2 linked regions of the Elephas maximus indicus genome follow. The protein of the gene in region 2 interacts with the protein of the main gene of each other region in a biochemical or structural test. Links are inferred from orthologs where the notes say so. Each region holds a gene or a part of one and is shown on either strand. Other genes may lie near its edges.

Region 1 (8,015 bases), on a different chromosome or scaffold from region 2:
GCCAACAGAATGTGATAGTCAAGGGCACATGAATTTGGGTCCCTGCTCTATAGACAAATGATTCAATGTCTCTGCACTTTTCATTTCTTCATCTGTAAAATGGGGGTAATGATAAAAACCCACCTTACAGGGTTAATATAAGTACTGATTGTTATCTGCAAAGTGTCTGGCACACTGGAAAGCAGAAATATTAGTTCCTTCCCCTTTCTTTCTATAACCCAAGTACTTAAGATAGAAATGCCATTTATTCCATTTATCACAACAGTTCCACGCATAATCTTTTATTTTTATTTTGCTCAAAAAGCCTCTACTATTCGTGTGCTCTTTTCTTTCCCCTTTGGGCCTGTGTCTTTTGCACTTAAATGATACTACTTGTTTTAGCTCATAATCAAAGTTCACAAAAGTTCACGCCACACGCTGCCAGGATAGACACATACACACATGCAAACGTCTTTTTTTTTTTCCTTCATTTGAGTAAAACTCAAGTAACACTTTACCCAACACTGGAAATATGTTTCTAAAATTTTGAATACAGGGAAAAATCACTCAGCAAATTTAAATTATCTCATGATCATTCCTTTTAAAAGTGAAGAACCATTCATAATTTTCTTTAAGGTGCAAGGTAGCAACTACAAAGTGAATGAGGACTAACCCAGTGACCCAGTGCTGTTGAGTCAGAATGAGGACTAACCCAATGACCCTGTGCTGTCAAGTCAATTCCGACTCACTGCGACCCTATAGGACAGAATGAGGACTACAGTCTGCAATCACTTTTCAGGTCTCAGCATTTCTGCATCCCCAAATTTTAGCAAGTATTTACAGGCCTCCACCTACCCTTCTTCCCCCTCCTGCTTTCCCCTAAGCTCCCTTTCTTCCCCATCCATCAGTATCCCTTTGTTTTCACTGCCTCATGCATTGAGGGAGCCCTGGTGGCACAGTGGTTAAGAGCTTGGCTGCTAACCAAAAGATGACGGTTTGAATCTGCCAGCCACACTGTGAAACCTATTCTGTCTTACAGGGTCACTACGAGTCTAAATTGACTAGACGGCAACAGGTTTGGTTTTGGTTAATGCATTCATGTGATTAGTGAACATCGGGCACAGTATCCCCAGTAGCTAAAGCAGTGCTGGCAATTCTATCTATGCTGAGCAAAAAAGCAAACATAATTAGTGGCCTCATGGAATTTACAATCCAGTGGGAGAGTCAAAAAGTAACTGCTCTTAATTAAATAAACCTACAAATGTAAAATTAAATCAGTGGTTATAAAAAATTGGTAACATCAGAAAAGGAGGATGAGAATGGTTGCACAACTCGAAGGATGCAATCAACATCACTAAATAGTATATGTAGAAACTGTTGAACTGGTGTATGTTTTGTTGTGTATACTCTCAACAACAAAATAAATAAAATAGGACACATGTATTGAGCATTTACTATGTATCAGGCACTGGGTTAAGCACTTTAAATGGAATAACTCATTAAATCCTCCCACGTATGGAATAGGCACTCGGTATCATCACCTTCACTTTAAGAGGAGGAAGGAGGCAGAGAAACATTTAGTATCCTGCCCAAAGTTACACAGGTGGTAAGTGAAGAAGCAGTACGTTCCCAAAATTTGGTCAAACAAGGCTTCCCTCAGGAAGTCCCAGCTGAGCTGGGATTTGAAGATAACGTTAGCTAGAGAGATGGAGAGTGACGAACCACTCAGGCAACAGGCAGAGGGAAAAGCATGTTCGAAGGTCCCGCGGAAGGCAAGAGTATGGAATATACCAGGAACTTAAAAAAGACCATGAGGCTGGGGAGAGAGCAGTGAAAATCTGGGATGACAGGAGTGAAGGGAAGAGGGTATTGAGTAGGGAGTGAGTAATCCAGGCAACACATGACACTGTGTATGGAGAGAAATAAACGAATTTAAGAAACACATGTGGAGGTAAGATATACAGGACTTGGTGAAGTAAACGGACATACAGGATGATGGAGGACGTCACAAGAATGATTTCTCAATCTCTGGCTAGCATAATTTAACCGACAATGGTGCCATTCACCAAAATAAAGAACCCTGACAGACCCAGACTAAGGAAGATAACGGGTTTGCTTTTGGCATGTTGAATTTGAGATGCCTTTGAGATATCCGGTAAACAGGCTTGTTTTCAGCATAAAGGCAGCTCGGGACAACGAAATGTGTGAATGATTGCCATACATAGATGGTTATGAGGTTGCCTTGGGAGAGGATGGCCTAGAAGAGAGCCTCGAGTCAACAAAATTTACAAAGATCAACCAAGCTGCCCCACAGGAGCCAAAAGAAGAGAGTGTAACCACAAGAAAGCGATGCTCGACAGACTGAGAACGCTGCTGAGAACTCAGGTAAGTTGAAAACTGAAAAGTATCTGTTGGATTTAACGACGTGGAGACCACCAGTAACTTAAGCCAGAGATATTTCTATAGCGATCGGGGGATGATCGATTGGAGCATGTTAACGAGTTAATGCGAGGTGAAGCAATGAAATAGCTGAAAACAACTTTGCAGAAGTTTGGCTGAGATGGGGAAAAGGGAGGAGACAGTGGCAGGCGCAGGGAAATCGGGGAGTCAGGTGTTTATTTTGTTTTCTTAGATACGAAACACGTGACCATGTTTAAAAGACGATGGTAAAATCCTTCGACGAATGAGTGATGGACCCTACAAGAAAGACACCTCGGCGGTTCCCCTCCGCCATCTACTCCCCTCGAGTCCTCTCCCCACCGCCCCTAGATCCCCTCCGCTCCTCCACTCCGCACATCTCCAAACTCCCTGCCTCCAGGGCCCACAGCTCCCCGTCCCGCTCGCCCGGCTGCCAGGCGGCCGCTCACCGCAATGGCCCCCTCGCTCAGATGGCCGACCATGGCTCCCCCGCGTTAACTCCGGCGCTCCGGCTCCTCCGCAGCCCCCACTCCGCTCCCCGGCGTCTCGCGCTCTCCAAAACGATTGGCCCAAGGAGTTGCGCGCGCCACGCCACCTCCCGACGTGCGTGCGGCGCCGGGGCGGGCCCAGGGGCCAAGCAGCAACCGGACTGGCCGAGACGAGGTGGACGGCCCACGTGACCCGCCCAAGGGCGTGCGGGGTCTTGTCGCGGGACGATGGGGCGTGGGGGCGGAGCGCCGAGCCGCAGGACGTGCCAAGAGTTGCGCGGAAACAGCTAAGGGCGCCAGGGGCCCAGTTCCGGGAGCTTCCCGAACGGGCTCTTGGGAGCGTACCCAGCGCTGTCTTTAGGGGGAGACAGACTGGCAGCCCGGAGGAGAGCTAGAGCTGTTCCCTGGGAACTCTGCTGCTAAATATAGGCAAAGCAGTGACTTTGTTCCTTGGCCAGCCCAGTGCGAACGCCTGCCGGTGCCAGGCCTTGAGCTTGGCACTGTGGGGGCCTCTGAAGGTAAATAAGACCCAGCTCCTGCCCTCAGAGGAGAGCACAGTCTGTCGGGGGAGTAGCCACCGACCGTGAGTAGCCCAAACTAAAAGTAGGTATGCACCGGACAGACACAAAGTATACTGCAATCATAGATGGAAGATCAAGGGAAGGCTTCCAGGAGGAGGTGCCGTATGAATACAACCTGGAAGGATGTATGGGAGTTTACCAGGTGAACACCCAGTGAGAGTAGGGTGAACCTGGCCGAATGAATAGACTCTGCAAAAATTTTGGAGAGATGAAATAGCCTCGCAAACTGGGGGACAAGAGGTAGCTTATGAGTATTTCAGTATGGTAGAGTACAGAGAAGGAAGTGCACTTGAGAATTAGAAAGGAAGCCAAGGGTCAAATAATGAAGAGTTGGTACTGGTCTTCCCTGTGTACTAGGAAGAGCATTGATGCATTTAAGGCAGAGGACTGACATCTTTCTCAAAGTCGGGGGAACTGAGGGCAAGGAGACTAGTTATGATGCTGGAAAGGATGTCAGGCAAGGGATCTTGAGGCCTGTACTGAAAGAATGGCCTGGGAGTTGAAGGAGAAAACTGAACCGTAGGAGAGAAATCTTTGTTAACTGAATAGTTGCCGGGATGAGTAAAAAAGAAAAATCTGGTGGCTCCCAGACTTCTGACTTGAGCAACTTAAGTAGGTAGAGCTTCCAAGAGGACAGTGATGGTAGCTATCTACTCTGATTCATCATGGATTAGCAATCACCTAACGTGGTACCAGGAATGTAGTAGGCTTTCAGTTACTATTGAGTGAGTTGGTGTGAGAAGATATAGATCTTTCCTCAGACATTTGTTATAAGACAACAAAAACCTGCTGCCTTCAAGTCGATTCTGACTCAGAGCAACCATACAGGACGGAGTAGAACTGCCCAATGGGGTTTCCAAGGAGCGGCTGGTAGATTCAAACTGCCAACCTTTTGGTTAGCAGTTGAGCTCTTAACCACTGCCCCACGAGACAACAAAACATCCATATAAACAAATATAGAAAAGACCCAAAGAATTGCTTTTTTTTTTTTGCGTTAACTTTGCTTGAATAAAATCTTAATTGTCTGGCATTGTGCATTTATAGAAATCTGATTCCTTATTACTCATTTTACAGATCTAAAGTAGCATGGATCTGCCTGTGGATGAGTGGAAAGCATATATACTCAGGAAGTGGGCTTTGCTCCCGACGTCCATTCGGGACACAATTTCTACAGCAGGGACTTTGAGTGATGTCTTCCTTCACTGCTCTTCGCTTTTTCAGTAAGTGACTAGAAGTGATCTGGAACTTGCTCTCTTTTGTTTGCTCTGAAGTAATATCTCTTTTTGTGGAAAGTTTAATTTCAGATTTTTGTGTTTTGGGGGCATTCAACAATTCTTCCTGTTTCCAGTCTTTTCTAACCCACAATCATAGAACCAAAAAAAAAAAAAAAAACCCAAACCAAACCCGTTGCTGTCGAGTCGATGCCAACTCATAGCAACCGTACAGAACAGGTAAGGATGACTATTTAGCTTTCTCTGTGTCAGTGTTGTATTTCAGTAACTCGGTGCCTTGCTATAGTCACTAGGTTGTGAACGTTGCCATCTCCCAAAGGATATGGTGGAGATTTACTAGCTGCATGTGAAATTTTGTTAAGTGCTCAAATTTGGAAAGGACCTTATAGGTCATATAGTTTAACTCCAGCAGTTTTCAAACTCTCTTGACTGCACCTTCAGTAAGAAATACATTTTACACCACAATCTACTACACACATATGTAGAAAACAGAAATAGGAATTTCCTGAAACTTCATTCATTCAGTAAATACCTATTAATCATCTACGTTATGCCAGGTACAGTGCTAGATACTTGGAATAATTAGCGAACAGAATAGTCAACAGTTGTGGAGCTTAATTCTATCAAGGAGGGAGAGACAATAAACATCACGAAGTATGTAATATATTAAAAGTGATAGGTACAGTAAGGGAAAGAAAAAAAAAGTGGAACAGGGTAGGAGAAATAGGCAGTGCCAGGAGCAAGAGTGCAGGTGGTAGTATTAAGTAGGGTGGTCAGGGTATGCCTTATTGAAAAAGTGAAACCTGAGCAAAGATTGGAGGTAAAGGAGTCAACAAGCTAAGAGAAGAGCATCTCAGGCAGAGACTAGAGCTAAGACCCTACGCTGGGAATGTGTCTGGCATGTTGAGGGAACAGCAGGGAGGCTAATGTGGATGAACAGAGTAAGCCAGAGGGAGAGTAGTAGGAAACAAGGCTAGAGATATAATGGGGCAGGCATGGGGATTGGGGGAGAGCAGATGGCACGGATCATGTAGACCCTGGTAAGGGCCTTGTCTTTTTACTCTGAGTAGGAAGCTTTTGCGGGGTGTAGTAGGCAGAATTCTAAAGATGGCCCCCCAAGATTCCTGTCCCCTGGTTATTCAATCTGACACTAATCTAGGGACTGCAATGAAGGGATTTTGCAGATGTAATTAAAGTCCCAAGTCAGTTGACCTTGAGATATGGAGCTTATCTGAGGATGCCTGCCCCAATCAGGTGAAACTTTTCAATGCAGAGCATTTTTCCCAACTGTTAACAGAAGGGGAAGTCAGAGAGATTCAAAGCATGGCAGGATTCAGTGTGCTATTGCTAGCTTTGAAGATGGAGGGGGCCGCATGGCAAGGAACGCCAACATCTTCCAGAAGCTCAGAGTGGCCCTTGGCTGACAGCCAGCAATGAACTGGGGACCTCAGACCTACAACCACAAGGAATTGGATTCTGCCACTAGTCTGAATGAGCTTGGAATTGGATTCTTCCCCTGATCTCCCAGATAAGAGCCCACCTTGACTTCAGCCTTGTAAGTCCCTAAGTAGAGAATTCAGCTCAGCCTTCTTTGATTCTGACCTATAGACCTGTGAGGTAATAAACGAGCTTTGTTTCAAGCTGCTGAGTTTGGCAATTTGTATGAAGCAATAGAAAGCAAATGCACAGAGTTTTGAGAGAAGAGTGATATGATTGTTTTTTAAAACGGGGCTGCAACCTACAGCCTGCAGGCTAAATCCAGCCCACTGCCTTTTTTTTGGGGGGGGGGAGAACCTGGTGGCACAGTGGTTAAGTGCTACAGCTGCTAACCAAAAGATTGGCGGTTCAGATCCGCCAGGCACTCCTTGGAAACTCTATGGGGCAGTTCTGCTCTGTCCTGTAGGGTCACTATGAGTCGGAATCAACTCAACAGCAGTGGGTTTGATTTTTTTGGTTTTGGCCTGTTTTTGTATCGCCCAACTAAGAATAGTTTCTACACATAAACATTTGCAACCAATTTAATGATGGAGAACACTGACCTTGAACCCCAATTAAGTAAAATGTTATCATTAAAAATTTTTTTCTCATGAGTAGACCTGCATTACAAAACATTGTACACAATTATTATTATGTTTTTAATTTTGTCAACAAAAAATTGTGGAAATTTGTTTTCTCTCCTGTAGCTACATAATGTCTTTGATTTTGCCTCTTGGCCTGTAAGGCCAGGGTATTTACTGTCTGGCCCTCTAAGAAAAACTTACTGACCCCTGTTTTAAAGGATTACGCTTACTGCTGTGTTGAGGATAAACTAGGGGGGAAGGAGAGAAGCAGAGAGACCTGTTGGGTAGGTACTGCATCAGTCCAGGTAAGAGATGAGATAGTAGCTTGGACCAGGGTGGTAGCCTTGGTTACAGATTGGACTGTTGTGATCCACAGGGTTTTCATTAGCGATTTTTGGAAGTAGATCACCAGACCTTTCTTTCTAGTCTGTCTTAGTCTGGAATCTCTGCTGAAACCTGTTCATCATCATAACAACATACAATCCTCCACAGACAGGTGGTGGTTGCATTGGCCTGCAATTGAACCCTGTTCTCCCATATGAAAGGTGGGCATTCTGCCTGACAGATGGGACGTGATGTGTTAGAGAATGAGAGAAATAAAAAAATAACTCTAGGGACTTTAGCCTAAAGGGTCAAACGTGGAAGAATAAAATTGCCATCACCTAGAAAGGCTGCAGATGGAGCTGTTTTGGGAAGGAAGATCAGGAGTTTACGTTTAGATATGTGGAAATTGAGATGTCTAAATGAGTGGAGTTTAGGAGGCCTGAGCTACAGATACAGATTTGAGAATTGTAAATGACATTTAGAGGCATGAGACTGGATGAGCTCACCAAGGAAGAGGGCCTAGATGCTTACTAAACATGATGCACTTTGGTATTTTCTGCTTCTTTCAATTAAAAAAAAAAAAAGCTAATCCAGGCCCACTAAATTGATTTCATGACTCACTGAGTCCTGACCTCCAGTTTGAAAAACAGTGGAAAGCACTACAGGATCTGTGAATTGCCTTTACAGGGTTTCCAAAAATGATGGAGAACTGCTGATGAAACCAGTTTTTCCATGATAAATTGATACAGCTTCCTAGCAGCAAAGTGTAATAATCCACAAGAATCATATTGAAGTTTCAGTGCACTGAAAAGGAATATGAATCAAAGAAGAGTATTTGCCTCGTCATTTAATATTGGAGTTCCTCAAGACGCCAGCCTAGGCTCTTTTTCCTTTTCCCTCAGTATTCTCTCCCGAGGCAGTCTCATCCACACT
Region 2 (7,341 bases):
AGCTGAGTAGATAGAATCGCTTCCTCTATTTTTCTAGTGCCTGCTGTTTATATCTCTCTTATGGTATCCATCAGGTTTTGCTTTGCTTTTGAGTTCTCGATACATCCTTTCTATACCCACAGAGTACATATCACTTCAGACTGACTTTATCTTCATTTTTGTGTCACAGAAGTACTTAGTACAATACCTTACACAAAATGTACTTTTTAAATTAAATGGATTACTGAGCCTCTGTTACAACACTATTCAGCAATTACCTTCTAGACAGCACTGTAATTTTTGTACTCTTTCTTCACACGATTTAAAAATAATAGCTAATATCTGTTCCTTCTTAGTTGACAATGTTTTTCACATTATCTATCTTAAGCTTTAAAAAAATGTATTTATTTTTTATACATTTTTTGAGATATGCTAACCATACAGATGATAATATACCATCACCCAGATGTAACAAATGTTAAATTTGTCGTGATCACTTCAGACATTCTATTAAGAGAAAACTCTTATTCATTTCTTTCCCTTCTCTCCCTCCCCAGAATTTCCATTACCCTGGAGTTGATGTGGAAACCCTGGTGGCACAGTGGTTAAGTGCTATGGCTGCTAACCAAAAGGTCAGCAGTTCGAATCCACCAGGCGCTCCTTAGAAACTCTATGGGGCAGTTCTACTCTGTCCTATAGGGTCACTATGAGTCAAAACCGACTCAATGGCAGTGGGTTTTTTGGGAGTTGATGTATAAGCTTCCCAACCATGTTTTTGTAGTTTTATCCTATATGTATGCGAACATAACAAAGTATTATTTTGTGGTTTCAAAAGTATACAGAAATTATATAATGCCGTTATGTATTCTTTTAAAATATTTTTAGTGTGGTGAACTATACATATATACATATATCACAAATCATTTCAACCATTTTTATGTGTACAATTCAGTGACATTACATTCCATGTTTCACAACCATCACTACTGTTTCCAATTTTTTTCATCACCCTTAGCAGAAACTCAGTACCCCCTAAGCAATGCCTACCATTTCCCCCTCTCACCCGCCCCTGGTAAGAATTAATAAATTTTGGTCTGTATGCACTTACCTATTTCATATACAAAAAAACCAAACCTTTGCCATCTAGTCAACTCTGATTCATTGTGACCCTATAGGACAAAGCAGAACTGCCCCATATGGTTTCCAAGCAGTGGCTGGTGGATTTGAACTGCCAACCTTTTGGTTAGCAGGCAAGCTCTTAACCACTGCACTGCCAGAACTCTCCTATTTCATGTAAGTGGGATTAAACAATATTTGCTCTTTTGTGTCTGATTTATTTCACTCAGCATAATGTTTACAAGGTTCATCCAGGTTGTTGCACGTTTCAGAATTTCATTTCTCTTTGTGGCTGCATAATATTCAGCTGTACGGATATATTATATTTTATTATCCATTCATCTGTTGATGGACACTTGGGTTGTTAATACCTTTTGGCTATCGTTAATAATGCTGCAATGAACATGAACCCAAACCAAAACAAAACCCAGTGCTGTCGGGTCGATTCCGACTCATAGCAACCCTATAGGACAAAGTAGTACTGCCCCACAGAGTTTCCAAGGAGCGCCTGGCAGATTCGAACTGCTGACCCTTTGGTTAGCAGCTGTAGCACTTAACCACTAAGCCACCAGGGTTTTCATGAACATGAACACTGGCATACAACTATCTGTTTACATTCATGCCTTTAATTCTTTTGTATATATACCAAATTGCTGGGTGTCTTAGTTATGTAAAAAAAAAATTACCGCTATAATAGAATTACCACAAGTGGATGGGTTTAACAAACAGAAATTTCTTTTCTCACAATTTAAGAGGCTTGAAGTCCAAATTTGGGGAGCCAGCTCTAGGGGAGGCTTTCTCTCCCTAAGCTCTGGGGGAAGGTCCTTGTCTCTCCAGCTTGTTTCCTGGTTCCTTGGCGATCTCCACGTGGCTTGCCATCTATCTTCCCCCATATCTGCTTGCTTAACTTGCTCCTTTTAATACCTTGTGAGACACTGACACAAAACACGTGCTACACTAATCCTGCCTCAGTAACGTGACAAAGATAACCCATTCCCAAATGGGATTATAACCACAGGCATAGAGGTTAGGATTTATAACACATATTTTGGGGGGATACAATTCAGCCCATAACACTGGGTCATAAGGTAGTTCTAAGTTTTTTAGGAACCACCATACTGTTTTCCTCAGCAGCTGCAGCATTGTACAATTCCACCAGCAATGGATGAGGGTTTCAATTTCTCCACATTCTCGCCAACACTTGTTGTTTTCCTTTTCTCTAATAATGCCCATTCTAGTGGGGGGTGAAGGGGTATCTCATCGTGGTTTTGATTTTATTTATCTCTCTTATGACTTTGAGCATCTTTTCATGTGCTTGTTGGCCACTTCTTTGGCGAAACGTCAAGTCCTTTGCCCATTTTTTAAGTGGGTTGCCTTTTTGTTGTTGAGTTGTAGAAATTCTTTGTTATGTATCCTTTTGCAATTTGCTTTTTTTCCGCACTCGATATTGCTTTGAGGATTCATCCATTTGGTATGTATCGTACCCTTCATTCATTTAAACTATGAAATGGTATTCCACTATATGACTCTAAAAAAAAAAAAATGACTCTACTACCTCTTAATCTTTACTGCAATCTTTTGCAGTAGATATTAATCCCATTTTATACATGAACAAATCTGAAGTATGGAGAGGTTATGAAACTTTCTGAGATCATGGTTTCTAGAAGATGGAATGAGGACTTGTACAGGGTCACTAATTTGCAATCCCATGTTGTTTTTTCCACTATACCACTCAACAATTAATTCAACAAATACTTAGAGAAGATCAACTACGTGCCAGGCACTGCATTTCAACCTAGAATCTAGCAGTGAACAAAACAGACAAGACATTGCTCTCCAGGAGCTTAAATTCTAAGTGGAGGAGATGATTAATCAAATAGTATGGTTCTAAGTGCTATGAAGGAAAATAAGGTAGGATGAGGGGAACAGAGCGTGTGAGTGTATACGTGTTGGTCTATATAAGGAGGGGCTCTTTGGGGACACCTGGAGGAAGGGGACAAATAGGGACAGGCATTCAAGGTCAAGGCAGAGCACACAGCAAATGAAAAGGCCCTAAATCAGGAGCATGTTTGGTTGTCATTCTAAACTTTGGAGGGTTTTTTTTGATACTGTATCAGCAATTATTTCATATGCAAAATAAAAAACAAAAAAGCAAATGTAAGCACACTGCATGGCTTTACCTGGTTAAATATGTATTTTTGACACGTCAGTAGTCTCTTATAATGGCCATTTTTCAAGTAAACAAATTGGGTTGAGCTAGACTATGTCTAGAGACAAAATCTATTGATTTACTTTAAAAATTAAATCACAGGTAGTAGATGCCCATAAGTGACATAAACATACGGAGTATTGCTGCTGACTTGATGAGGCATACAAAAACAACCCAATCTCATTTTTAAATGTTAAAGACTGGGGGGATCCTCAAGGAAACATAAGAGTGTCTTCCAAGGAGAAAATATTGCTGAAATAGAAAGGATATGGACAGGGGCGGATTATCCAATAGGCAAGGCAAGCATGGTGCTCACCTTGCTTACCAGATCATCTGTAGTGAGCAATTTCACATTCCTTCATCACATCAAAGATCCTGCTTCTAGGTATGGCTGGCATCTCTCTCCCAACCCCACAGCACCTTCTGATACAATCAAACCCTCTTTTCAAATTTACGATCCCTGACACAGACAGATGACCCAGTAAGCAAGATAAGCACGGGCTTACTTGTGCTTACTTCCTATTCTGTAGTGAACAACTTCACAGAAACCCATATGAAATTGTTCATTACAGATTAGTAAGTAAACACAAGTAAGCCCGTGCTTACCCTGCTTATTGGATAATCCTCCCCTGGATAGGGAGGAACCCACCTCTTGCTTGGATTCTCTCAGAAAGGATGCCAAGAGTGTGGTGGTAAAAGGAACAACGAAAACCTGAAGGCAGGTTCGTAGGTCGGGGAGGGAGTCACGCCCTGGGGAGACCTGGCCTCTAGTCTTGGTTCTCAGTCATTCAGTGTTCTCAGTTCTCGCGTTTATGCAGCCAGGGCGTCTGGGCAGTTCCCTGCCAAGCCTCCTTCTCCCCAGATCCCGCGGTCTTGGTTTCTGAGCCTCCCCGGCTGCGAGCAGCAGAGTCTTCCCCTCACAGTCAAGGCTCCGCGCCTCCGGCCCGCGCGGCGCTCGGGAAAGCTGACCGACGCGCCCCGCCTCTCTCCCCGCCCCTTTCGCCCGTCGGCCTCCCCCGGGTCCTGTGCGGAAAGGAAAGTCGGGCCTGGTGAGCGGGACCAGCGGCGGCTTCCGGGAGGAGGTTTGGGCTCCACGGGACTCCGTCGGGCCCCGCATTCCCGCCAGAGGCAGCGGTGCAGACGCCGGGAGTCCGTGTGGATCTCCTTGCCGAGGGCCGCGCCGCCTCAACATGGGCGAACATGGCCTGGAGCTGGCGTCTATGATCCCGGCTCTGCGGGAGCTGGGCAGGTAGGGCCAGGCCGGCTGTCTTCAGTCCCTTCGTCCCCCACCCCTCCCGTCCTCGGTCCCAGCCGGCGGCTCACGTGGGGCTCCCCCGCTCTGCAGCGCGCCGGCTCCGGTCTCCTCAGCACCGGCCCGGGCCCTGTGGAGATGCCCGCTGGCTGAGCTGGGCGCTTCTCCCTCAGAGACCGGGAAAAGACCCGAAGCGTAGCCGGAGGCCTGAGGGAAGCCGGTCCGAGAGGAGGAAGGCGTCTGCCGGCTCCACCTCATCTCTGCCGCGGCCCGGAGCTTGCCCCGACGCGGGGTGAGGGGGGTGCCCTGCTGCAGCCGGAGAGAGGGGTCCCTTCGGGTCACTTCCTGGTCCGTTTTCCACACTCAGTTGCTATCGAGCGTTTTGGAATTCATGGTTACACCGTGTGTGAGAGCAGAGCCCTGTGTGCGCCGTACGGTTTTCCTCCTAGCCGCCTCTGGGTAGACTCAAACCTCTAACGTTTGGGTTAGCAGCCGTTGTTTGCACCGCCCAGGGACTCCTCGTGTTTACCTCCACTTGTCAGCCATACAAGCACATTTAGTCTTTTTCAGTTACATAAATAAGGAGATAAGAGACCTACACCGTTCTTGTCCCGATTGCATCACCCTATTTTTGTGTGTGTGAATTTTTTCCACTTTGCACAAATGTTGCAAAGATACTTTGCATTAACGTTCTGTAAAGTAACGTCTACTTTTGTAAAAAAAAAAAAAAAGTAAAAGTGCTCTTTTTATTAAGTCGAAGTACAGATTTTCTCCTTCAGGCTCATTGTGAAGTTCCTTCTGTTTTTCCCACCTTGCTTTTTTATGTAATGTAGAATTAGCTTCCCTCTTTTCCTCCATGAGATTTATTAATAAAAGTAATAGTATCTTGGATTTATACTTAGTCTGTTTCATCAACAGAGATTATATTACCTTTCATTTTATTTATTTGTAGCCATTTCAAGAGAAAGAGTAGAAAAACTGACCCATATAGAATTGTCTAAAAACGGACACTTCTCACCATCTTTGTTGCTATCACCATAATTTGTTATCTGGAGTATTACAGTAACCTCCCAGCTGGCCTCTCCATTGCTACTTTTGCCCGTGTACAATCTATTTCCCACTCAGCAGCCAAAGTGATTTTTTTTTAACTATAAATCATACTCTAAATTATATAATATTCCTCCCCTGCTCAAAACCTTCCTTTGGCTTTCTAGCACACTTAGAATACAATCCAAACTCCTTACAAGGCCTCTAAGGTCCTGCATAATCTGGCTCCAGCCTGCCTCTAAACTCACTGCTTTCTGTCCCTGCCTTGTTCATTCTGTTCCAGTGGCATTGACCTTGTTTCTCATACACCAAAGTCATTCCTGCCTCCAAGCCTGTTTCTTCTGTCTGAACACTGACTGGCTTTGTTCAGATGTCGTTTCAGAGATGCCTTCTCTGACTTCCCTATTTAAAATTGCTTTGCAATCAAGATATTTTTAGAGATTGATAGTTGCAATTAAAGTGTTAAATGGCCAGTGGGATGGGGATGAAGATCTTGGGTGCAGCAACACAAGCCACTAGAGGACACCTGGATGATGACCTGGGAGAGGAGTGTTTGAGATGGAATAAACTCATTGCCATCAAGTCGATTCCGACTCATAGAAACCCTATAAGACAGAAATGCCCTGTGGGGTTTCCAGGGAGCAGCTGGTAGGTTTGAACTGTGGACCTTTTGGTTAGAACCCTTAGCTCTTAACCACTCTGCCACCAGGCTCCTCCCCCTTGTATCAGAAAAAAAAAAAATCTGGGTGGGAAGGAGCCTAGGTTTTAAGGAATGGAAAGAAGGCTGGAACATACTGAATGAAGAGGGGAGTGGTATAAGATGAAGATCGAAGGACAGGCAGGGGCCAGATTATTTAGTGCCTTACAGACTAAAGAGTTAGATTTTATTGTAAGTGCAGTAGGAAGCCTTTGAAGCTTTTTAAGCAGAGACATAACAATTGAATTTACCTTTTAAAAATGTGTTTTATCTTCTCTCCCCTTCCTAAAACCCTTCGATGTCTCATCGCCCCCTGTGCAAAATCCAAACTCCTTAGCTGGTCCTCTGAGCTTTGACCCCATTTTACCTTCTAAGCTTCATCCTCAGTTACGTCCTTTCCCTTCCTAGAGCCCTGGTGGTGCAATGGTTAAGCACTTGGCTGCTACCTGAAAGGTTGGCAGTTTGAACTCAGCCAGCGACTCTGCGGGAGAAATACCTGGCAGTCTTCTCCTGTAAAGATTACAGCCTCGGAAGCCCCATGGGGCAGTTCTACTTTGTCATATAGGGTTGCCGTGAGTCGGAATTGACTTAATGACACATGTCAACAACAGAGTTCCTAGAGCAGGCCGTGTTCTTGTTGCTGAGCCTTTGCACATGGCTCTTTCCTCCCCTTGGAGCACCCTCCACTTCTCCTTTGTGTGTTTCAGGGTGATGCAAATGGTTTGTGCTTACCTGCCAACCAAAAGGCGGTTCGAACCCATCCAGTGGTCTGGTGAACTTCTTTAAAGATCACAGCCAAGAAAACCCGATGGAACAGTTCTACTCTGTAACAGATGGGGTTACCATGAGTTGGAATCGATTCCACAGCAATGGGTTTTGTTTTATTTTTCCCTTATTTTACCTGCCTGACCCCTTAAGGACTCAGCTTTGTCTCGCCTCCTCCAGAAAGCCCTGACAGATAGGCCCCTCATCAGGATTGAGTGTCCCTTTTGTGTTCTTTCTTGGCGGTATTTGTACTTAACCATACTGTGTTATAATTAC

Evidence for each region.
Region 1: the proteins of ATR (region 2) and RPA1 form a complex in vitro, tested with the Homo sapiens proteins (2 studies listed by BioGRID, with this or other methods). The link is inferred for Elephas maximus indicus from reciprocal best matches to the Homo sapiens genes ATR and RPA1.

The regions. Positions count from the first base shown.
Region 1 is NC_064837.1:19,912,383-19,920,397, forward strand, and holds the start of RPA1 (replication protein A 70 kDa DNA-binding subunit), read right to left. Parts: upstream 3,006-8,015; 5' UTR 2,880-3,005; coding exon 2,847-2,879; intron 2,365-2,846; exon of another isoform or gene 2,053-2,364; intron 1-2,052. Other genes in the region: SMYD4 (SET and MYND domain-containing protein 4), read left to right, coding at 4,553-4,686. UniProt on the Homo sapiens protein: As part of the heterotrimeric replication protein A complex (RPA/RP-A), binds and stabilizes single-stranded DNA intermediates that form during DNA replication or upon DNA stress.
Region 2 is NC_064841.1:17,233,379-17,240,719, forward strand, and holds the start of ATR (serine/threonine-protein kinase ATR), read left to right. Parts: upstream 1-4,325; 5' UTR 4,326-4,494; coding exon 4,495-4,553; intron 4,554-7,341. UniProt on the Homo sapiens protein: Serine/threonine protein kinase which activates checkpoint signaling upon genotoxic stresses such as ionizing radiation (IR), ultraviolet light (UV), or DNA replication stalling, thereby acting as a DNA damage sensor.